Linked DNA regions of Kluyveromyces lactis. The protein of the gene in region 3 binds, or shares a complex with, the protein of the main gene of each other region. Links are inferred from orthologs where the notes say so. Each region holds a gene or a part of one and is shown on either strand. Other genes may lie near its edges. The genes, in order: KLLA0_E19933g, SAP30, PHO23, RXT3, RPD3, DEP1 and UME6.

Region 1 (3,706 bases), on a different chromosome or scaffold from region 3:
AATCATAGTAATGCGTGGCCATGACATGTGTTTATGAGAAGAAAACTGATAATAGTGTAATATCTAATATATGCATGTATATATGTATATGATTGTAAGAATAGCGAAAATTAATGCCATCATTGATATAGCAGTAAAATGTAAATAACAAAACAACGTAATAGTACGCACTTTTCATTTAAGTGTTTATGCAAAAGGAGCAGCCCGTGTCCCTTTGCTATAATAAACTGAATAGGGACATTATTATGACAAAAAATAACCATATGGTACAGTTCAAATGATTTGGCATAAAGATAACACTGTAACAGTATTATTGATGTTCTATTGTAGTTATAGTACTTGTACAATGGGGTCATAATCAGGAAAGTGTGTGCGTTTATGTGATAGTAAATCAACGACAATGATGATTGAAGTAGCAGCGACTGGCGCCACGATACACTTCGGGGTTCATGTTCATACATGTCTGAAAGTGGTTTGTAAAGTAGTTTTTTAAGTTTTTGGTTCTTGATAATGGTATTAATACAGACAGTTTATCATCAAACAATGTGCTTGAATATCGTATTCAAACTAGGCAGTGGCTGAGTTGGCACTTGCGGTAGTCGATGGTTTTGTGGTGGTTGAGGAGATTGCGATGAATTCGGAGTGAACTGGGGCGTTTGTTCATTACTAGCCTGTGTTTGAAGAATTTGCTTCGGTACGCTGGCAGGCATCCTATTGCCATAAAAAGATGAGTTGTTCACATCAGAAATAGTTGGAGAATGGTCTCTCAAGGAATGAGCGTCCGGTGAAAACACTGGCGATCTCTCACGAGCGGAAGAACCAGTCGAAGATGTTTGAGAAAACGTAGGAGATTCATCTCTTAGCTGAGTTGGGGCAATAGAGTCTTCCATGCGGCCAACAATCTCTACATCAACATCAACATCGTCAATGTCGTCATGCTCCTCTACGGCAGTATCTGGTGAGTAAGTAGAGTGGACCTCATCTGAAGAACTCGATTGATTAACATTGGCGGAAGGACTAGCAGTACTAACTGCATCGCTAGGCGTTATATGTAACGAATCCATTCTCCATTGGATCTCTTGTTCTGATCTATGAGGTAACAAGATTGAAAGCTCATCAATGGACAAGTGGTACCTTTGACGTTTTTCTACCAACAACTTATCCTCATCGCCAGACCAAGGTTTTGCAAAGCCATTGAATGATCCAACGGCACATACGGATGAAGGAGGGGGTTGAGAGCTTTGTTTTATGGGCATATCAATGAAACCTGCTTGCATAGACTCACGTCTAAACTGAGAGACAGAGTTCCTTCTAGACATAGATGGATTCGTCGTGAAGCTTTCTCTCCTTGGATTCGCGGAAGATGCGGGCAAAGTTGATGAAGGCATGACAACAACGGAAGATCTTCTAGAAGATCCGTTAGAAGACATTGGGATGAAATGCCTGTCGGATGCTACGTTGAAAGAGGAACGTCTGGAGCGCGAGGAGAAGGAATTTTTCCTTGATTTCGTACTGGCCAGGTTTGGCAAGTTCGATTGTGGAGTGTTATTCACAACGACCGCGGAACCACGTCTACTCTTGATGAAGACTTTTGGAATAAAACCAAAATTTTCCTCTTGATCATTGAAATGGGGCATATTTGGTGGGGCGTCCTGTGAATGAGAGGAAGACCTGGGCTTTATAAATTTCCCATGAGGAGCAGGAGAAGCAGTAGAGAACGGAGACTTGGACAACGATCCGGAATGTGCAAGTCCGTTTACCGATAGGACACTAGATCCAGCTGTAGCAGCAGATGACGAAAAAACACCCATGTTGCTATTGTTATTATTAGTAGCACTCCCACTACCATTCAACCCATGAGGTGACGAAAGAACGGCACTATTGGTAACTTTTGAGGTCGGAATTGGCATGGGCATGGGCATCGGTCCCGTAGAACTAGACTTCTTTGCCGTATTCTTCTTCGCCGTCGAAGAGGACCCAGTGTTTAAAGATTCCGCGCTCAACGTAGGTCCTGCAGAAACAGCCATTGGAGCAAGTACTGGAACAGTCACATTTAACAACTCATCCTCCTCCTCATCCTCCTCCTCTGGCGACTTCACCGTCTTTAAACTGCCAGATTTTAACCTTCTCCACCGAAATTGGCACGCGTTAGGAGTTCTATTCGTAAAATACTGAGCAATATCCTTCCATCCCAGTCTTTTCACCTCTTTCAAGTGTCGCAACAAGACATCGTCCTGAGGTTCCCACGAACTCGGAGTCCTACTGGAAACGTTTTTTGGTGCAGTCATCTACCCTTTCACTTAAAAATATTGTGAGTTATAATTGTAAAGTATCAGCAACCAAAACAAAATCCACTATTTAGAGCAGTAAAACCAAAATTCAGCTCAAAAATTTTCGAAATGTAATCAAAACGACAGTAACAGCTTTCTAATAGCTCTAATTCTCTAGCTCAAAGACCTGTTCTCATTAACACAACGAGAGGGAATAAAAATTTTGAACGGTCCAAAATAAAACCGACAGTAGTTTATGAACGATTTTTCTTTTTAAACAACAAAAAATCGCCTTAAATTCCTTCCAAAATCGGCTAACAATAAACTAACGTATTGACAGTTATGCTCTGAGTCGATATCACTGAGGTCAGACTGAGTACTGAACCAATAAAGACAGGTTTCTGCCTAGGAAACAAAGAGTGTCAAGTTAAATGACAAGACTCGATGAGGTCGAGTTTAGTGGCTTTTTCTTCGTCGCGATGAGTTGGAAAAAAAAAAAATTTCGAATTTTTTCAGTGTGACAGCGATGAGATGAGGTGACAGGTGAGATGAGAAGAGATGAGATGTGATGTGAGTATACTGAGTGAGGGTCCTGTATCTTACCGTTCACGTGTCTTTTTTTGTTTTTTTCGTCTGTGTACTTCTTGCAAATGGGGTTCCCCGGTTGGTTTGGGACTGGTGCGTTAGTCTACGCCTTCGGAAAGCTATTGCAGTAGTGTGTAGAATGTGTCAAAATAAGCTTATGGGAGGTAGGGGGATGCACTCCGGGAGGTGATAAGTGCGTTGGTAGGCCATTGGATAGGCTTCGGAAGATACCCATTACACGATATTTTTGGACATCGTGTGGCATGTACGGTCTGTGAATGTTTCCATGCGGACTTGAGTCACAGAGTGGAGCTTAACCTTACATCCGGGTAACACTCGAAAATTCTGTACAAGCCATCTCACGATGCGCAAGAGGATATGCAACTCATCCCACTTCAGAACGATAAAAGGACTTCCTGTTTGTTTGGCATATTTTCGGTTCATTATGGCCATTGTATATCACTGTGAAACAGCTTCTACACTGTATATGTCCAGAGCACTTCAGAAGATGACAGGTTTGAAACAGATAAGGTACTTTGACATTGGGTTCAATATCTCTGATCACATGTTCAAAGGGAAATACCATGGCAAGAAGCAGCACGAGACGGATTTATCCAATATATTGAACCGTTGTAGATTGACTAATGTGGATAAGCTGCTGATTACCGGATCTTCACTGGAAGAATCGAGACATTCCATTAAGCTTTGTAGTGAATTTGCAACTGAAAATGGACCAAAGATGATGTACACCATCGGGGTGCATCCGTGTCAGGTTAACGAATTCATGCCCAAACACTCAAAATCGTACCGGAAATCAGATTCAAGCGAGGATCTTCCGTTTGCAATTGAAA
Region 2 (2,533 bases), on a different chromosome or scaffold from region 3:
TTTGCGAAATCCGATGTTGAAAACATGTTTAAAGGCAAATCTGGGAATTTTTTTTGGGGGCAGCCCGAAAACGGGGTTGTGGGAGCCCCCAAAACAATAGTTTTTCCGGCAACTCAATTTCCATGATTTTCCGATAGAAAGAGTCCCAGGTGATTCAAAAAGTATACCTTTGGAACATATTGGTGAATTGGGACAATTAAGGCAATTGCTATGGAATTAGGGTTCCAGTCTGCTATCAGGTGAGTGGTAATTGGGCTTGGTTTTGTGGGGCAAGAATGGTTCCATGTCTTGTCGATGCACATTGCCATGTGTCTACTATGGTGGATGCTGTAGGATGCGATAAGATCAGAAGCAATTTGGACCTGGCCCTTGCCGGAACGGCAAGTGATGTCCAACGGTGTGTCATGAGCACGAATGTGTACGACTGGGAATTACTGGAGCCCCTGCTGCTAATGAAACAACTGGATGATGAAGGTCCCGGAATCAATGTTAGTCTTGGTGTGCATCCCTGGTATTGCCATTTATATCAGTTAGATAGGTCGCTTTCTAAGGTAGGGCATTATAGGAATTGTCTTAAATGTAAAGACGAGGTACAGTTGATGGAATTGGTAGAGCAATTGCCGGATCCAGTAGATTTGTCAAGTTACTTGTCAGATGAGCGGGTTTCTCGTGTGGGTTGTATTGGCGAGATCGGATTGGACAAGGTTTTTCGGTTGCCTCAGAATGGCTTTCTCGTGAGCAATAATGGGACATCGTTGGAAAGAAGTAGTTTAAGCAATGTAAGGGTAGAGTTTGCACATCAGATCCAGGTATTTGAAACGTTATTAAAAGTTGCAAAGGGAAGGGGGTTGCCGGTTTCGATCCATTCTGTGAAATGTCAAGGTACTACTTTTGATATTTGCAAGAGAATATTATTGGATAGCGAGGTGAACATATGTTTGCACTCGTTTACTGGGACATTGGATACGGTGCGGCTATGGCTGGCGAATTTCCCACATGAACGGCTTTTCTTTAGCGTTTCGTGTTGGATCAACTTGAAAGACTGGGATTCTGGTGCTGAGCTGTTGAAGAGTTTGCCCTTGCAGTGTATTTTGACAGAGACAGATTGTTCTGTGGATTCAGTGTCGTCGCAAGAGCAACGACAGATGCTAGATTCCGTTCTTGACGCCATTTCAAGAGCTCACGGCATTTCCAGGACTAAGGCGATGGACACGGTATTACAAAACTTCAATAGATTCTTACGTAAATGAGATGAGACGCAGGGACTGCATGTATGTTCTTTGTTTAATGTAGTCATCCTCTATATCTAATTCCAAGTTATTCCCACTTATCTAAGAAAAAAAAGTGTCTTAAGTACAAAATTTTGATCTTTTTGAACATTTGTCCAGGTGGTAAAGGGCATTACCATGTACTGCTCCATACCATCTCAGGTGTCAAATAGAGTGGGTGCTGTACAGTCACAAGGATCTTACACGACATGGCACCAAGGGGACACAATAACTCAAATTCAGAGTCCGAATCTAAGGGCAAATCATCGAACAATGCAACTTCAGGTGCATCGACCAGGACCAGTGTGAAACAAAGACTCTCGAGTGCTCAACAGCAATACTTGAAGGACTTGAACAAGAAACATATACATAACAATCATCCGAAGAATGAGCCGCTCCCAAATCCGATGGATTTCGAACAATACTCCGATGAATTTTTAAGGCGGTATAAGGATAGGTTCCAATTGAAATCTCCAGATAATCTATCAATACAAGGGTACCTTCTAGGATCAAGGATTGGGAAACATACTTACTCGGCGAAACGAAACCAGAAAAATGTACCAGATGCAAGGGTTACGAAGCAGGAGCTTGCGAAAGGTGTCAGGGAACACTTCGATAACTATACCGTTCGAGAAGCGGAATGCCTTCCTCAGTTTATTTACAAAGTACAAAATCAGAAAAAGAAGTTCAGAATGGAGTTTAAGGGATGAAGCGGTGGTGTTGCATAGCTCACTTCCATCTTGGGCATGTAATTCGACATCAGCCTAATGGCTTCATCTATTTGTAACATATATGAATAATATAGAACGTAATAATCAAGGATATCAACGGAAATCTATTTGGAACTAGCGTTCTATACGCTGATTATATGCACTGCAGTGAAAAGGACAGATTGCACAGCAAGCTGTACACACGTCCTTCTGCTCTTTAACATTTTTTTCCTTTACAGGTCGTTTACACAATTTTTCTCTTTAATAAGAAATGAATGATATTAATTATCATTCACAAGTAAAAACTGTAACAAGACAAGTATTTGCTCCATAACCAGGCATACTGTGTTTTCCTGTCTCCAGAATAATTAATATCACAGCAATATATTGAGAGCAGACAGAAATTATTGTGTTAGATAGAGTATCTGAATTAAAACTTTAATCATGGCGGATCAAAGTTTCACATTATTTATCATTTTGGCTATTGCCGGTTATATTGCTGTGAAATGGTTTTTGAGCAATAACGAACAACATCCATCCATCCAAATCAATGGT
Region 3 (2,962 bases):
CAGCACACACACAATAACATACTTTATTTAACGACATTTCGCAGTGTACAAATGTAAATCCCTCACTATTTTAATCTACAACGAGGTCCCTCTTTTCCCTATGATATGAGCAATGATTGTGCATAGGTGTTGTCAACGTACATAAGTAGAATTTAACAAAGCTTATTATTATAAGGTACAACAAAAATTTTTTTTATTTTTCTAAATTTTTATTTCAAATTCGGTAAGTATGCGAAAAGAGACAGATTACATGAATTGAAGGAACCCTTTTTTTCTCATCAATACGATGCTGCTGCTTGCTTATTATTATTTCTTTCGACAAGAAATGGAAATGGAAATAGAATTTCCCAAAAAAATGATGCTTGACCAGATCAATTATATTCTCAGTAGTTGCTGAGATCGAGGTTGAATATCTCAAGGGTTTTTTTCCTTTTGCATTTATGCATCATGAACTGAGTGACGAGACAGTGATATATATTATATTTATTTCCGGTGGTAAATATTATGTTGGTGCAGCTAGCTAATTCTTTTTCAAACAGTCATCGCAGTACCATTTCCCTTTAGGTAGCGTTTCCAAGCCAATGCAGGGAAGATGGAACCATTCTAATTGACAGTTTTCGCCATCACATCCAACCATTTCTCCGTATGCGACCTGATTACAGTAACAATACAGTGCTTCTCCATATTCGTTGATCTTTGGTCTGTTTTGATACTTATTTGATGCGTTGACTGCATTTACAGCTGTCGTGTTACTCCCGGTAACGCCATTGTTAGCAGCCGTGGTGTTTACTCTTTTTTTGTTCCTTCTTTGTGCGGCAGTACTATTTGCAGAAGAGTTGTTATTGTTTGAACTAGATGTTGAGACAGTAGTTGTCCCGTTGTTATTTCTCCTTTTCTTAGTGTTCGCTGGTTGTATATCATCTGCATGAGAATGGCTATTGTCATTATGGTTGTGGTTATGCGCATTTCCGTTCTTATGACCTGCCATAGTGGAAGAGCGGTTGTGACCATTTGTTTGAGTGTTTGCTCCTTGGTTTGGAGCATTTCCATGTGATCCTACCGCCGCAACTACTGGTTCTGATCCTGCGACTGCTGTGGAGGCACCGGTTCCAGAAGTTGAAGTAGAACCAGCTGTGGATCCGACAGAACCTGAATTTGCCGTTCCAGCAGCGTTCCCACCTTGAACAGCAGTTCCCCCAGTTGTCTTCTTTGCAGCCATGGCTTCTCTACGGGATTCACTTTTCAGTGCTTGTTGAGACTTCGTCATTACATTTGATTCGACCTTAGCCATAAGCTCACGATGCAAATGCATCGCTGGATGGTTATCGTTACCTAGTCTTAACTTCTCTGGAATCTCTTGATTGGAAATAGCAACCTCGTAGGCTAATTCCAACCTGTCCGTTAACCTTTCTAAAGAATCGTAGGCTATAGATGAAACATGCATCTTCTCTTCCAATGACGGGATCAGCTCTTGAAACCATTGGTTTATCACACGTAGAGGAACCTTGGACTCATCAGGAACGTTTCTCCCACCAAGGAATCCTTTAATGCATTTATTTAGTTCAGGAATTATATTAACGCATTTAGCATCAATTTCATAGAGTAGAGTCATGTACCGTGAAACGTCTAATGGCACCTCTTCCAATACATCACTAATATCATTAAGACCAGGGTATAAATTTGCAGGTGCTGCCATATCTTGAGTTGTATTGTCTATGTCTCGCTATCGTGATATGTAGTACAGCTTGTGATTCCTACTGGATTGAGAGATCTTTTGAATCACACAAATGTCAATACACTACATACAACATGTAATTGTATTGCGTGCACTTATCCGGTATGCTAAACAATTCTAGTTACCTGACCTAAAAGAAAAGGTATAAATTTGATATTCAAAGCTTTTAATAAGACTAAGCGAGAACCTGAAGAAAAGAAAAATAGATCACGTGAAAATTATTATCACGTGATTGGTATTAAATAATCGTTTTGGATTCTAAGTAGGTTATACAATGGAAAGCTCGGGGTTTGTTTGATTACGATCATCCGTGAAACCCTGTCCGCAATCTTTTGTTTATGTTTTTTGTTTTCACTGTTGTCTCCTTCCACCTGTGTCACATTTGTCACTTCATTTCCCCCGCTCTAAATAGAAAAAAAAAAGGCGATTAGAATTTTGCTGACACTAAATCCTGTCGGCATCGGGTAAAATAAGGTAAAAAGGGAATATGTATCAGAAATAATGAATGGATCACGCAGGGAAACAGCCGCAGGGATCCCGTGCGAATTTGGAGATGTTCCAGCACATGACCTTGTACTTAAATTGTAGAGTATCTGTTCTTTCATTTGTTGTCATGCATTCAGGGCTGATTCTATTTCTAACGGCCAGTCACACAAAATGTTGTACTGATTCCTTGTATCAATCCTAGATTATCTCTACAAAGTCCGTTAACTTGAGAATTTTTTTGGTGATGACTATAATGATTCACCAAGAAAGTCACAATCCTGGACCAAAAGAAAATCCTGAATGTTTGATGATTATGATGATGATATGATGTTAATGATCAGCAATATCATGGCTAATTACTTTCATGAGGAAGAGAAACGTTTTTTTTTTTTTTCGTAGATATATAAATCACAGCCTTTCGGTGCAAACCTGAAGCATACACTTAGATAAGAAGAACATTCAGTACCGAGGTATATGAAATTGGTCTGATCAAAGTGCACCAAAGCTAACGTATATATATACAGTATCACTTCGACGAACACTATTGAAAAGGGAAAAATGAGTGACGCCTCCATTGAAATTGAATTGGAAACATCGCATGTTAATGATGTTTCCCAAACAAAGTCACAATTAACAGAAAATTTGAAGTCATTAGCTGCAGGCGGTGTTGGAGGTGTTTGTGCAGTGTTGACCGGACATCCTTTTGATTTGGTGAAAGTCAGATGTCAATCAAACCAAGCA
Region 4 (2,908 bases), on a different chromosome or scaffold from region 3:
TGTAAAATGTAAAACCAGGGGTAAAAAGTCACCCAGAAGTTAGAATCAGTGAGACCCTTACTCTAACCTAATCTTTAAGTATACCAAGAAACAAGATTCAGGGTCTTATGGGTCACTTTGTAGCCGTTAACGTCTCGAACACTTCTCTTATGGTCGGTCTTTTCAAATCTTTTTCCCAATTATTAATCTTATTGAATGTCACTAAAAGAATAGAAGGAACCTTCAACCAATTTAAAAGAAGGTTGCAGGGACGTATAAAATAGCATATATATCAGACCTCTATGTTTAGAAGGTTTGCATGGCAGTGGAGATAATGGTAGTTATTATTATGATATTACATTGTTGAGTAATCTATACACAACGCTTTTACATATACAAATGTACATATTCTTTTCGGCACGCATCGATGCAGTACGCACGGCTTGCACATAACCGATTTAAGTCAACTTTCTCGTCACTTGTACGAGACACATGACGAAAGAAAATATATTGGGGGACGGAAGATACCGGCTGCTGGCCTTTTTCTTGATGCAGCGTTACCACTTTAGTGACTTAGTCTTGTCAGATTGTTGTATCTCATTTAATGTGTTGTCCATCACCACAATATCAACATGGAAAATTCCGAACGACAAACCGTCATGGACTTGCCCTGTCCATTCTCTGGATGTGATATTATTTCTCGTGGATGACGCATAACCTTGAAGAGGTGGTAACATTAGGATGTCCACTTTGATCGCAAATGGAATTTCACGTTCTGGGATTGCTCCTGTCACACTATTTTGGTCCGACATATTTGTAGGAGTTCTTCTCAATTTAGTTTTCAAAGAGTGAACATTGGATGGCTTGCCATTGCTGTTTTGATCCAATGGTTCAGAAAATGGCAAAACTCCACAGTGTTGAAGTACTAATATAATATCCGAATCGTCGGTATATATATCTGTGCCCCATATCTCTCGGTTTTGGTACCGTATGTTCTCACTACGGGCCACTTGTTGTAAATATATGGAATCGATCTGTATTGTAAGGATTGAGTTGATATGGTTATGAGACATCCTTGGAATAAAAGGTCTCGGAGATCTGATGGTCTTGAAATTATAAGGGAATGGAAGGGCTTCCAATTTCGGATCCCCAGGAAAAACACCAACTCTCATGGAGTCGTACTCCAAGGTGGCCAAAGGGCGCCGCTGTAGTGCGTAATTCTTCTCTGTATATTCAAGGACAGATTTAGAGTTTACGTCTATTTCGTCTTCGTCATCTTCAGGTTTGCTGTCTGGAGCTGCAGTTTCAAGGGTAGTGTTGTTTTCAGGTTCCCCTGTTTGGGAACTTTCATCTGCAACATTCTGTGTATTAGCCGGTGCAGCAACTGCTTCTTCTGATGATGATGATCCGATTTTACCCGTATCCTGATCTCGGGCCTGTTTGGACTCCCTAGAACTATTCAGCAGTGTCTCTTGCATGCTGTATATCCTGTTTTGGGTTTTTCTGTACAACTCATCACTCATATTCAAACAGTGGCTGAAAGCTGTTGAATAAATCAAAGTTTTACCAGCTATACAATCGGCAACTAATCAATTGAGCCACTGCGAAGTTCTCAGCTTGTAATAATGTATCAATCGACCCTGCTCAGGAGTAAATTTCTCTCGATTTATATTATGAATTCACTGTGTATTCGATGTACAGATGGAGATTCTTTCATTAACAACATTCATCACCAGTTTGACCATAATAGTCTATATACGGGACTGTTATAACATCCGTACATTCGTGAGGCTTCATTTGTTCCACTGTAACATCCGTGCACTCTGATGTAAAATAGTTTTATGTTTTCATTTTCTATAATAGGAAACTTTCATTCCGCATTTCGCACTTCGAATGACACAAACATTTCTAGGACATGTTGTGTGTGGGAAGCAATGATACAGGCCTGAGGAACCTCGCTTGACAACGCCCGGCGGCCTCCGATGACAGGTTTACCCACTCTGCCTAGGATGCCAATTCACCTTTCTAGCTCTACACCCCAGCCGGCAACCATTCCTTGTCCAGAGTGCAGGCATTCCTCCGTCTACTGGAACCAGCCTGGGCAGCCACCCAGCCAGGTTTGGACATACTAGGCGTTTCACCCACCACTGGCTGCCTTGCTCCAGCCTAGTGCCTAGTCTATTCCCTCCAGTACCAGAGAGAAAGTGTTGATTTTCGATGAAATATTATTTGGATACTGAGAAATAAGCTATATTGTAAGTGGTGAAATTAGAGGTTTCTGAATGTTAATAGGCGTTTACGATACTGTTTATTTGATTTGTGTGTTGGTTCTTAATAGAGAAGAACGAAGCAGTACACTGAGGAACTATCGAATACAAAATGGCCGGTTTGAAAGACGTCGTTACTCGTGAATACACCATCAACATGCACAAAAGAGTATGTTAGCTTTTACCAATGATGAAACAAAATTTCGAAGTGAAATTACACAATAGATACCAAAGTGGATAAGAGCAATGAGAAGGGGAGTTTAAAGATCATATACTGTATTTGAATGCAACATTGCATGTAAGTTTGCACACAATGGAGATACTTTGGGAGAATATGTGGATATTAAAGACCGGAGATGAAGTCTATTTAGTTTATTTTGATATCATTAGAATGTGGAGAAAATATACACCATGCTATACGTCCTTGTGAAAACGCTAAGTTTGTTTCTGGAATATAATGTTGAAAAGATGGGTTATTTGTTTATCAATGTGAAATAATTTGAATATTGATGATTGATTTTTATCCGAGTGAAACAGGCGATTAAGAGACGACATTATCGGTGAATACGCACTGTATTTTACTTATGATCAATGTTCCTTTTTTTTTCCAACATCTTAACAGTACAGTATCTTGAACAGGTATTTTCCAATTGCTCCCACCA
Region 5 (3,264 bases), on a different chromosome or scaffold from region 3:
GTAAACGATACCAATTCTCAAGTTAGAACCATCATAAACTTGATCCAATTGACCCAAACCTTTAACAGCCATTGCAAAATTTACTAACTGTGATTTGAATGTTTAGATACAACGTATCTACTATCAGATAATATATATCTCTATATGAAATAGGATAAGCTTTATTCTTGTGTAATCGACCTATCTGATCTTAACTTTTAAATATCCATTCGCTTCTGGATTTTCATTTTTTGATCTTTTTCATATATAGATTTGTTACTGACAACCGAAGTGCAGATGTAAGTCATATCTGAACTGGAATAGTATTACGTGGAAAATTATGGCAAATACCGATACTGACGGAGGGAAAACACGATAGAAAATTGACCTCATTAGATCAATTCTAACTTGGGCACCAATCTGTATATTCAGCATCATATTAACCGTCGGATGAATGACATATAACAGTGATTAGGTGAGTGACGATAAAACCTGTAGCAAATGCGGAAGAGTACTTCTAAGTGTAAATATATTATAATACAGTAAATAATAAAAGATCATCTGTTTTTGTTTTCTGGCTAAAATTCGGTTGCATTCTCAATGGTTATGTCTCTTGCATACTGAGAACCTCCTCTAGTGTCCTTCGCAGCTGCAGTATCTTCTTCGGCGTCACCTTTGTCCTCCGCATCGCGAGGAACGTGATTGAGTTGAACGCTTGGGGCATATTTAGTATGCTCTAGATTGCTGAAAATATTAAGTAGCACTTTATCCAAATACTCCGGTGTATTGACGTTATACATATTAGATGGTCTGACATCCAATTTGTAATCAGGGCCATAATATTCGTAGTAATCGTTGTAAGGAAGTTCTTCATCCAAAATCACATTATTCAGAATACCCGTTTCGAAAGCCCATGTACGAGCCACGTTTCGCATTGTATAACCACCACCACCAACAATCATGAGAGGAACACCGAACGATTTCATGTAGTTGACACAGTTTGCGTGACCCTTCATTGAAAGGTTGAAACAACCTAAACGATCGCCGGATAAAGAGTCACCACCGCATTGGAGTACCACGGCAGAAGGTTGGTACCATTCCATAATTTTACCTATGACTGGTTCAAATACCGATTTGTAAGTGGCATCGTCAATACCGTCCCTTAATGGGACATTCACAGCATAGTATTTACCTTTCCCGACACCAGTATCTCTCAATTCACCAGTACCTGGGAAGAATTCCCCATATTTATGGAAAGAACATGTCATAACTCGATCCGTAGTATAAAAAGCTTCTTCTACACCATCACCGTGATGCACATCAATATCAATATAAAGAACACGAGGATGGTACCTTAACAACTCGATGATACCTAGCACTATATCGTTCAAGTAACAGAACCCTGAAGCTTCCGATTTTTTGGCATGATGTAAACCACCAGCATAGTTAATGGCAACATCACATTTGCCTCGGTTTAATCTGGCTGCACCCTCCATAGAACCACCTCCAGATATACTACAGTACTCGTACAAACCATCAAACACAGGACAATCGTCTCCAACGTTGAATTTCACACTCTCCTTTTGGAACATATCTAAATTATCTGGAGTGACTCGAGACAAGAAATCAATATATTCATCGGTATGGAACTGACACATCTCCTGTTTCGTTGCAGGTTTAGCCCTGTAAATTTCCATCTTCTTATACAAACCGTAATTCATAATCAACGAATGTGTCATTCTTATTCTATGTGGTTTCATAGGATGTCCTGCACCATAAGCATAGTTTCCCACATCAGCATCATAAAAGTATGCAACTCGCTTCTTCTCGTTAGCCTTCACCGTTATCGGGTCAAAAGGTTTAGCTTCGTATACCATACCGTCCACGCACAATTAATCTTAATAGTTTCGCTAAGTTGGAGAGCCGGTACAAATTTTTCACCTCTTGTTTATATAGCTTTCTTGGTATGTTTTCGACATAAATCAAGGTTTTAATAGAAATCACTACCTTCATTTTTCACCGTCTCCATCAATATAGAATTTCCAAGCAGCTAAAGAAAGAAGAAAAGCCTTAAAGAGATCTGTCATGTTACACGAGTTGAAGAAGATTAAGAAGTAGACCAACTTTTTACTGACCAGATCATCCTGCATGGATGAGTTAATATATTTGTTATATATGATTTATAATAATATTCGATATGATTACTTATTAACGATCATTGAGATTCGAAACTACTCTTTAATCTCAAGTAATGTCTTAATTCATCCTCAGAAACACTTGGTATTAGATTCTGTTGAGCAAGCTCGAAGTCTTGTAATTTTACCACGACCTTCAAGTCATTCTCGTTTGCCACGTTATCAAACCAATACCTCAATGATATATTCTTTTTATTTTCCATGTTATACTTCTCCCACTTTTCATCAACTTCACCAGCAACTCTAGTCATAGCGTTTAAAAGGGCATCAGAACACAATGCGTAGAAATCTGCACCTGTATAGTTGAACGGACATTTTTTGGCAATATCTAGTATATCGATACCAGATTCTAGTGTGAACTTTCTCGTCAAAGCCTTGATGATATTTGCCTGTTTTTTATCGGTATCTGATATCCCCAAATATAACATCTTGTCAAACCTACCGGGACGTAATAATGCTTCATCAAGAAGATCTGGCCTATTCGTAGCTCCAATTACGAACACTCCGTCTCCTCCTGAACTCATTCCGTCTAGTTCTGCCAAAAGTTGAGACACAATACGATCCATAACACCCCCAGAATCTCCCTGATTTCCTCTCTTTGGTGCCACGGAATCAAGTTCATCGAAAAAAATGACACATGGCTTAGCATCTCTTGCTTTCTGGAAGACACGTCTAACATTTGCCTCGGATTCACCAATGTACATGTTAAGAAGTTCAGGCCCTTTAACACTGAAAAAATTTAAAGAGAAGTTAGACGCAATTGCCTTCGCTAACAAGGTTTTACCAGTCCCAGGAGGTCCATAGAAAAGAATACCACTTCTCTTTTTCATACCAGATGAAAATAGTTCAGGGTGCTTGAGTGGCATATCTATGGTATCCATGATTTCTCCTTTGACCACATCCATCCCACCAATATCATCCCAAGTCACGTTAGGAATTTTAGGAGCTCCGATAGAGTCTGAGAATCTATCTCTTGCAATATTTATGACTGCAGTTATATCGGTCATATCAATTAGAAGGTCGTTCTGCTTTAGACGTTGGTAACATTTGTACTTGACAGCTTTGACGATTGATCGTATATCCATTGGAG
Region 6 (3,619 bases), on a different chromosome or scaffold from region 3:
GCCCTTTTAATTTGGACATCAAATCATGATATCGATCCCTTTGTTTCTTATAGAAAAATATCATCGGGTTGGATACGGTTTATTATAAGTTTTATTTCTATCCTGGTGTCTTAATAAAATAAAGATATTTCGCTTCACATTGGAATCTGACCAATTCATCACAACCTTTCCTCACTTCACAAGGACTACTATTTTTGGGGTTTCTTTCTCATCTTTTTATTATTTACGCTTTTATCTCTACCAACGTCCAACAAATGTTTAATTAGTAGGAAGTATATCTTCTATTCCATATATAACATACATCTTTGTATATTTTAAAATATCAAGGTTTCTCGAATTCACAGATGTCAATTCGAATACACTTTCATATCGTGGAAATGTTAAAAGTGCTATACATATACACAGTCATGCATATATTATACTTGTAAAGATTACACATCATAACAAAACGATAATTAAATGATGATTCATCAAGATGACATTTTATTGACTATTGATAAGAGCGTGTTTTCTGGTTTTTGGAGCACCTAGTGAAAAATTATATGACCTATTGTTGATGCTGTATTCCTGCAAGATCCTCATGAATTTCAGAATCTTTTAAACCACCAAGTTCAGGAGCACCTGGGAATCCTCCATAGAATTTCCTTATACCATCTAAGTCGCTCAATTCATTATTAAACCTCATTCTGTCTACAATGACTTCTAACTTATCGACAGGGTTGTTATGATATCTGAAATTGATATTTTCACATAATAAATCTTCTGATAACAAGTCGCCTGGACGTCTCAGATTGGCAGGAGCTGCGTATCCGGTTATACAACTCAAAGATTTATTTGAAATTTTTATTGGAACGTGATAATTTACTTCAGGTACAACAACGTCCATTTCACGTCTCTCTTTATTGATGTCATACCACTTCTGGGTTGTGTTTCCTAATAACTTATGTTTCAAATCTGAGACCTTTCTGTAGAAATCTTGATGAATAAACGTTCTTGTCGCCCTAGTTTCGGTATCTATGCACTCCAGCTCATACTTTTGCCTTTGGTACATTCTCTTTAGCTTAAAGTCCCGTATCGAAGCAATCTTCTGATAATAAGTCTGTAGTTGAGGATGTGATCCATCTAGACACATCTGTAGCTCATTCTGTAATTTGCTCAGCTTGTTTTCATATAGACTCTGTCGCAATTGAGCAAATTCGACTTCAATATTTGTTAGTTCTGCCAAAGCGTCTTGTCTTATCCTTTCCTTCTCCATGGGCGATAGTCCATTATCGGTAGAATCGACGCCAGGTGTATCTGTCTGTTGTTTCTCATCATTATCTTCTTCTACTGCGTCCATTTCGGGTTCTAATTCTTCCTCTTCATCCTCATTATTGTCCTCAACCTCACTTTCTAGAGTACCATCATCCTCAGCTTCTGCATCCGCGTCGATATCAACATCATGATCTCCGTTTTCATGCGTTTCATGCTCGTCTTCATAGTGACCTGATTTTGACTCAGTAGGTAATTTCGGTTTCTTGAACACCTGTTCAGACTTGACATGCTCCGAGCCGTTCTCTAGGGACTGTTGCTCTTCTTCACGGTTATGCTTTAAAGACACTTCTGATTCTTCTTGCGATTTGATCTCGTTATCATTCGCCTGCTCCTCTACTACCGGAGCATGCTGTTCTTGTTCATCGTTTGCAATTGTTTCTTCTTGACTGCCTCCTTCGGCAGGTACAGATACTTCGTCCTGGTTTTGGCTTAGTGCAAGTTTATTTGGCTCTGTTGTATGATCTGTATCAGCAACAGCGTCATCTTCATACGGTACTGGTTCAGGTTCTGTTTCGGCTGGTTTATCTTGCTGAACGATTGGTCCCTCATCTTTTGAAGGAGTAGCAAGTTTAGGGGCAGATTCTTGAATATAACTACCGACACCATTATTGATGTACTCTTGTTTTACAGTCTTCGAAAGATTATCATCATTTTGTTTACTTTTGTCATTACCGTTACTTTCAATCGAATTGGATGCCATTTCCGATAGTTTGACACGTGATTCGTCCTCTTCTAAATCCATCTTTTCGGTCTCAGCGTCTGATGAGATGTATATGTCCGATAGAGAGACTGAGTTTGGATGTTCTGGAGAAGTGACCTTAGATAATCCACTGGTACTGTTATCGTCGTATTCTAATGTACCAACCTTTGAGGGACTCCCTGATTTCGATTTCCTTGAATAACTATTTGCGTTAAAATTAACAGAATCAGAATCCGAAGCAATCTTCTCTAAAACTTCTTTGGTAAGTTTCGTAGTGGGGGCAGATCTGGTATTATGATCGTCAATCTCACTCGCAGCCTCTACACTGTTATTTTTGTTTCTCTCTGGCTCCATTTGAATGATTCAAAGATAGTACCGTTTGAATTCAAAAAGAAAGAAATCCCAACGCATATAACCAATACAACCTTTGTATTACTCCAATCGGCTGATGGCAAAGAAAAAACACTTAGCTTATACTCCAATGCAGAAACACACAAAATTTAACCAGCAAACCGTTTAATATGCGCAGTATAAGTTAAGAATTGCTGCTTGAATAGATTGAAAGTTGATACCTGACACACTAAAACAAAGGGCTGCAAATATACCTTACTTCGCGTAATTCTTATTTTTACTAGCAAAACAGTTATCTCTCTCTATTCTTAGTAGTACACAATATTTTAAATCACGTTTGGATGAGATCTATGTATTGATTGCTGACTGGCCATAACTATATGTTCATGCTAAAATCAGACTGTATTTTTATTCTTAACTTATATTTCGGCATTTCAGCACTATTTACAGTTTGTACGTTTTTTAAGGAAAAGGAACATGATGTTACCCGGCCATATAGTACATTCCACGGTGTTAATCACGTGACTACGATACATTCGATTTGTCCATAGAGCGTACGCTTTTCTTCCGCATTTCTTTTTGGTGGTAAATTCATGATTTCTGCTGGCTTTTCTAGGAAGTGCAGGTTTTTCACTTTCGATAATTCAACAGACAAATGGATAAAGCTCATCGCATCGAAGAGACTTGGACAGCCACCAGCAGGTTTAGTGCAGAGGAATAACGTTTGTGTTGGTGAACCAGGGTCTTTCAAACATAACAAACCAAAATTATATTACGGGATGTCCGCATTGAACAATTTATTTGGAAATTCCAAATCAGACGCGGCAGGTACATCATCGATTGCAGCGTTATTCTCCAAACCTAATCATGTCGATGAGCGTAAAGTAAAGTCGAAAGCTAGGACTGTGCTAACTGAGCCTGAACAGGATAAGGATGAACAAGAAGAAGAGAATGTCCAGGAAAGTGCTTCTACTGTCTCCGAAGGAGTAGAGAAAGAACAGGAAGAACAGGAAGAACAGCCGAAGAAGAAAAAGAAGAAGACCAAGAAGAATGATGAAGAGAATGATAATTTGGAAGTTCAATATTATTCTAAGGTATTAGGTGATTCTAAATCTAAAGATGAACCTAAGGATGAACCTAAGGACGACTCTTCCGATAGTGATAATGAAGATGAAGCAACTGCAGTCGATAAGTCTTCGATTACCGGCACGGAATCTGAATCTGCTAAAGTTATCAATTTGAAAGAAAAGGAAC
Region 7 (4,278 bases), on a different chromosome or scaffold from region 3:
ATTTTTAACGCCTTGTTTTTCTCTATTCCTTAGTTACTGAAACGACACTTTTTTAAATTTTATCTTAATTATTCCAAATTTTGGTTGTAATGTATGTGTCTATATTTTGTATGTTCTTTTATTTTATCTTATTTTATTTTGTTGATCCTCATATCATCTCAATCCTCCTTTGAAAGCAGCATAAAGTTTAAATATTGAACTACGTTGTCTTTTGAAATCATTTCCATACTATTCCCTAAGCTTTGTGCTTAAAATACGTACAATTCATACATTGTATATTAAAGTCAGTCTACACATTTATTACAGCAAATATATCTGAGTATATTATATATTGGGAGGTGAACATAATCATAAAAGTTCAGTCAAAAATGGTATCTATAGAGTTTTGAGGGGTTGTCCATTATTGTAAAAAAACTGAGAACACCTGATGATACAGATGTGTGTCTGAGAAGAATTTAGAGATGATTGTCTCTTTGATTATAACCAAGTCTTCTTTTTCATTGCTTGTCTCTTAGCTTCTTTTGTTTTCTTTTTAATTTCTTCGAGTTTTGCTGCCTTTTTAGCAGGATCTGAAATAAAATCGGGTTTTACTATGTCGTAAAAGCATTCGAGGTGCAACCTCACGCAGTTCTGGCATTGCGGTTTCTCTTCTGTACATTTCTTCTTACGCAATCTACAGATCCAGCAGCCAGTTCTTGACCGTGCCCCCGTAGCATTTCTTTTCTTTATTTGATCACTTGATTTGACCATTTGCTCGTTAGAAACATCATTATTGTAATTAGATTCTTTAAACTTCAGTTGTTTGGCATGTTTGGAATTCGGTGACAATAATCCAGTGTGTTCAGTAGATAATGATGAAGACCTTGATCTTTTTATATGCATACCATTTTCCGAGATATCCGCAGCGGGGTATGCCGTAGTATCTGGATGGTCTCCAATCTCATTTTTAATTCCTGTCAATTGAGATTGATAATGTGGTGGGCCTGATCTTCTTCTGGACAATCTTCTTTTTCCATTCTTATTCCATGCAACAGTTTCTGGTGCCTTTGATCCCCCTTCGGTCATTTCGTAATCACCATCGCCATACCCGTCATCATCATCATCCTCTTCTTCCATTATAACGAGTTCATCCTGGTTGCCAGTCAATGGTCGTTGGTTAACCCGAAGCACTGGCTTAGGTAAAAGTCTTTTGGAGAACGGATTAAAGGCATTATTTTGGAGAGATTGGTTTGATAATGACGAATTCGGTCGGCTATCATGATTGCCAGAGCCGAACTGTTCGTTAAATGGGGGTAATGGGGAAGACCTCATCTGAGAAATGATTGCGGCAGCTTCCGCATCCACGTTGGAATCTTGATCATTCAAAGTTGGGTTGACCATTGTGCTATTATATGGATACTTGTTAGCCGACTCTACTTTCGGAAAAGCGTTTGAGGATCCTAATAACACTCTATTCCTTAACTCATCGAATTTTGTGTTGAAATACTTCGGTTGGTAGGTAATATGTGTATTATTGTTATTACTGTTTGCTGTGCTACCGTTATTACTGCCACTACTATTACTGCCACTACTAGAATTACTGAAAGGACCATGAACCTGATCGGTTTCGAACATATAGGTTGGAGAAACAATTCTATTCATGGTAGATGAGACCTGCGGGTTTTGATTTTGATATTTTGGATGTAGGAAGGATCCTGTGGAGTGAGGAGGATTTGACGCTGCTGAGGATGGGAAATGAATAGTGTATTCATTTCCTGCCGTAGATGGAGGGGGCGAGATTGATTCTGCTGTCGATCTCGAGTTTAGTAATGAAGTAATATTGATCTTTTGAGCTGAAATTGATGAGATGCCTGCACCCGGATCTATTTTCTCTGTGGAACAATCAAAATGTAGTCTTTTTGGAGTCATGGCGCTTCCTGTGGCATGCAGATCTCTATCACGGGAAGCGCTCGAGGTCTCAAGGATCGGCGAAGATGAAGGCGCAGCAATACCGCTCGCACCGTCATGTGAAACAGTTCCAGGATTACCAATGTTTCTGCCATTGCCCTTTTTGCCTTCGAGTCTATGTCCGCTTTGTCGCAGCATGCGTTCATTTTGATGACTACCAGTATCAGCTTGAATTTCCTCGCCCTTTCTTGAATCGTGAAGTGTTTCTGTTTCACTCACTTGACCAGAGTCTATCCTATCGTTGAACAAATACACGGGAGTGCGCGAGTCTTGATATAAGGTGCTACTCCCTTTCCCAGTGTTCGGCAGCGTATTGCTACTGGATATACAGATAGATGGTGTACGCGTATTTATTTTTGGAACATGTTGTTTATCAGCCGAAACCACGTGATCAAAGTCTTGGGTACCCGTTTTTTTCTCAAATTTCACGGCAACCTCCTTTTCCTCTTGCTTAGTCTCTCCGTAACGAGGAAGTGGCGGCAAAACCTCGGTTTGAGGCTTTGTCCCTGGAATCCCGGAAGGCTCTCCACGTGAAGGAGAGATAACACCCTGTTGTAGATCGTTTTCCTCCACAGGCGTATTATTCGGAGCAGCAGTAGGAGACATCGCTAAATGTATCAAGGGGTTGAGCCTTGGTGTATGTCGCAGCAGCGTTTGTTTTTCACCTGTTTTCACTCGTTGTTGTTTTTCGTTTTCTTGTTTTTCATCAATTTTGGTCACTTCCCGCTGGGCGGTTAGCTCCACTTGGGCGGCGTTTGTTTTTGAATGTTCGTCAGGGTAACTTGGCGGGGTACTTTTCTCCGGCACATGCATTTTGGAAGATAACGGAGAAGAGGAGGATAAACGAACAGAGTTCACAGCACGCCGCTCAATTTGACTTTTCTGACGAACCATCTATTCCGAAGGTTCTTTTATATTTGAAGAAAACTTCAGTCTAAGTTTCAGGCCAGCGCTTAGCGCCAAGAGTTTGTGTTACTCTTGAGTTAAAAAAAAACCGATTCTCTCCTCACCCCCTTATAAGACTCTTGAAACTAAACACAATCAGGTATTAAGCCAGGAGCTACGGAATGAGCGGGTTCGTAATTAGTAAGAGAGATTGAACCAGAAGCCTGTCAATTCATAGAGGATCGCGGTTTCAATGAATGTAAGCATTCATAAAGAATAAAAAAATAAAGTAGAGTATATTACAATAAACTAAAACAAGTAAGAGAAATCAAACATTTGTAAAATTCGATTTATATAAATAAATAAACAACGCCTTGGATGTGATTTTCGAACGAGATTCAATTAGGCGTTTTTTTGCCTTTTTTTGAGCGAAAAACTACAGGAAAACAAGCGCAGAAAACGAATCAGAAGGGAGAAAAGGGAAGAAAAAAGGGAACGGCAATGGTACTAGCCATCTAAGCAAGCTCATTGACCTTGCTTTGCTTCTCGGTTTTTTGTTTTTAGTAGGATATCTGAAGTTTGTAAGGTGCACTGCTGTTATACAGTAGCTGATTACATATGTAGCCCGCTAAGATGGTGGGTTTCTTTAATTACCCGTGGGAATAATTTTTGACTGTTTTTGACTTTTCTTATCCATTGGGCGTATCGCTTGACGAAAATTGTCTTGAAACTATTTTACACGCTGGAAAGGGAGAAAAAGATTTGAAAAGAGTAAAGACCATGTATTACCCGGTCATAATCAGTTGTTCCGGCTTAGTAACTTTTGGGCCCAAAGTCTTAATCGATTCAGGCCAAATATAAAGAGTTTTGACGGGAAACTAGAGTAAAATCGATCTAAAGTGAGATAAACTACTTTTGTTAATGTAGTATGGTATTTATAAAAATTAAATTATTGATGATACTTATCATATGGATTTGCTAATATACATTTGTTCCAGATAAGTTGTAGATTAAAAATAATTAAAAAGCACCGCTTATTCCTGCATCTTTTCAACTTTCAGATAGTCTTCTCGTCGTTGTGAAAAGTATTCATTCTGGAGAAGGAAGTAGTGTATTGTTCGAACGGATCGTGCACTGCTCTCTTTTCTAAATCATTTTCTGGATTGTCGACTCTGTCCTTGATGCCGAAGTAATGTCTCTTACCATATTTGTATAATTCAACGCCTGCCCAGAATGCGAAACTAAATCCGATTGCGAATCCCCATTCGTAACTGATATTGTAATGTAAGAACACTTTGTCGTTGATTACTGGGATATAAACCACTGGGAACACGGAACAGAACCCACCAACAATGGACCAAAACAAGAATTGATTGCTCCAGATGTCCTTGAACACTTGAGTGTATGGTGTTTCACTTTCAGGGTTCATCATGAAGAATGATCTTC

The links.
Region 1: PHO23 (region 3) and KLLA0_E19933g share a complex: the UniProt entries of both Saccharomyces cerevisiae proteins name them as parts of the RPD3C(L) complex. The link is inferred for Kluyveromyces lactis from reciprocal best matches to the Saccharomyces cerevisiae genes PHO23 and DOT6.
Region 2: PHO23 (region 3) and SAP30 share a complex: the UniProt entries of both Saccharomyces cerevisiae proteins name them as parts of the RPD3C(L) complex. The link is inferred for Kluyveromyces lactis from reciprocal best matches to the Saccharomyces cerevisiae genes PHO23 and SAP30.
Region 4: PHO23 (region 3) and RXT3 share a complex: the UniProt entries of both Saccharomyces cerevisiae proteins name them as parts of the RPD3C(L) complex. The link is inferred for Kluyveromyces lactis from reciprocal best matches to the Saccharomyces cerevisiae genes PHO23 and RXT3.
Region 5: PHO23 (region 3) and RPD3 share a complex: the UniProt entries of both Saccharomyces cerevisiae proteins name them as parts of the RPD3C(L) complex. The link is inferred for Kluyveromyces lactis from reciprocal best matches to the Saccharomyces cerevisiae genes PHO23 and RPD3.
Region 6: PHO23 (region 3) and DEP1 share a complex: the UniProt entries of both Saccharomyces cerevisiae proteins name them as parts of the RPD3C(L) complex. The link is inferred for Kluyveromyces lactis from reciprocal best matches to the Saccharomyces cerevisiae genes PHO23 and DEP1.
Region 7: PHO23 (region 3) and UME6 share a complex: the UniProt entries of both Saccharomyces cerevisiae proteins name them as parts of the RPD3C(L) complex. The link is inferred for Kluyveromyces lactis from reciprocal best matches to the Saccharomyces cerevisiae genes PHO23 and UME6.

What each region holds. Positions count from the first base shown.
Region 1 is NC_006041.1:1,773,998-1,777,703, forward strand, and holds KLLA0_E19933g (SANT/Myb-like DNA-binding domain-containing protein), read right to left. Parts: upstream 2,289-3,706; coding exon 537-2,288; downstream 1-536. Other genes in the region: KLLA0_E19955g (3'-5'-exodeoxyribonuclease), read left to right, coding at 3,220-3,706. UniProt on the Saccharomyces cerevisiae protein: Component of the RPD3 histone deacetylase complex RPD3C(L) responsible for the deacetylation of lysine residues on the N-terminal part of the core histones (H2A, H2B, H3 and H4).
Region 2 is NC_006041.1:986,068-988,600, reverse strand, and holds SAP30 (Sap30p), read left to right. Parts: upstream 1-1,477; coding exon 1,478-1,978; downstream 1,979-2,533. Other genes in the region: KLLA0_E11243g (putative endodeoxyribonuclease), read left to right, coding at 276-1,250; CUE1 (Cue1p), read left to right, coding at 2,423-2,533. UniProt on the Saccharomyces cerevisiae protein: Component of the RPD3C(L) histone deacetylase complex (HDAC) responsible for the deacetylation of lysine residues on the N-terminal part of the core histones (H2A, H2B, H3 and H4).
Region 3 is NC_006039.1:1,143,140-1,146,101, forward strand, and holds PHO23 (Pho23p), read right to left. Parts: upstream 1,697-2,962; coding exon 521-1,696; downstream 1-520. Other genes in the region: Ras family GTPase RAS1, read right to left, coding at 23-37; CRC1 (carnitine:acyl carnitine antiporter), read left to right, coding at 2,780-2,962. UniProt on the Saccharomyces cerevisiae protein: Component of the RPD3C(L) histone deacetylase complex (HDAC) responsible for the deacetylation of lysine residues on the N-terminal part of the core histones (H2A, H2B, H3 and H4).
Region 4 is NC_006038.1:261,919-264,826, forward strand, and holds RXT3 (Rxt3p), read right to left. Parts: upstream 1,503-2,908; coding exon 537-1,502; downstream 1-536. Other genes in the region: RPL31B (60S ribosomal protein eL31), read left to right, coding at 2,359-2,415. UniProt on the Saccharomyces cerevisiae protein: Component of the RPD3C(L) histone deacetylase complex (HDAC) responsible for the deacetylation of lysine residues on the N-terminal part of the core histones (H2A, H2B, H3 and H4).
Region 5 is NC_006041.1:185,620-188,883, forward strand, and holds RPD3 (histone deacetylase RPD3), read right to left. Parts: upstream 1,857-3,264; coding exon 558-1,856; downstream 1-557. Other genes in the region: lumazine synthase RIB4, read right to left, coding at 1-72; PEX6 (AAA family ATPase peroxin 6), read right to left, coding at 2,195-3,264. UniProt on the Saccharomyces cerevisiae protein: Catalytic component of the RPD3 histone deacetylase (HDAC) complexes RPD3C(L) and RPD3C(S) responsible for the deacetylation of lysine residues on the N-terminal part of the core histones (H2A, H2B, H3 and H4).
Region 6 is NC_006042.1:735,803-739,421, reverse strand, and holds DEP1 (Rpd3L histone deacetylase complex subunit DEP1), read right to left. Parts: upstream 2,369-3,619; coding exon 548-2,368; downstream 1-547. Other genes in the region: rRNA-processing protein NOP12, read left to right, coding at 3,145-3,619. UniProt on the Saccharomyces cerevisiae protein: Component of the RPD3C(L) histone deacetylase complex (HDAC) responsible for the deacetylation of lysine residues on the N-terminal part of the core histones (H2A, H2B, H3 and H4).
Region 7 is NC_006042.1:1,922,711-1,926,988, reverse strand, and holds UME6 (DNA-binding transcriptional regulator UME6), read right to left. Parts: upstream 2,842-4,278; coding exon 478-2,841; downstream 1-477. Other genes in the region: KLLA0_F20658g (uncharacterized protein), read right to left, coding at 3,890-4,278. UniProt on the Saccharomyces cerevisiae protein: Component of the RPD3C(L) histone deacetylase complex (HDAC) responsible for the deacetylation of lysine residues on the N-terminal part of the core histones (H2A, H2B, H3 and H4).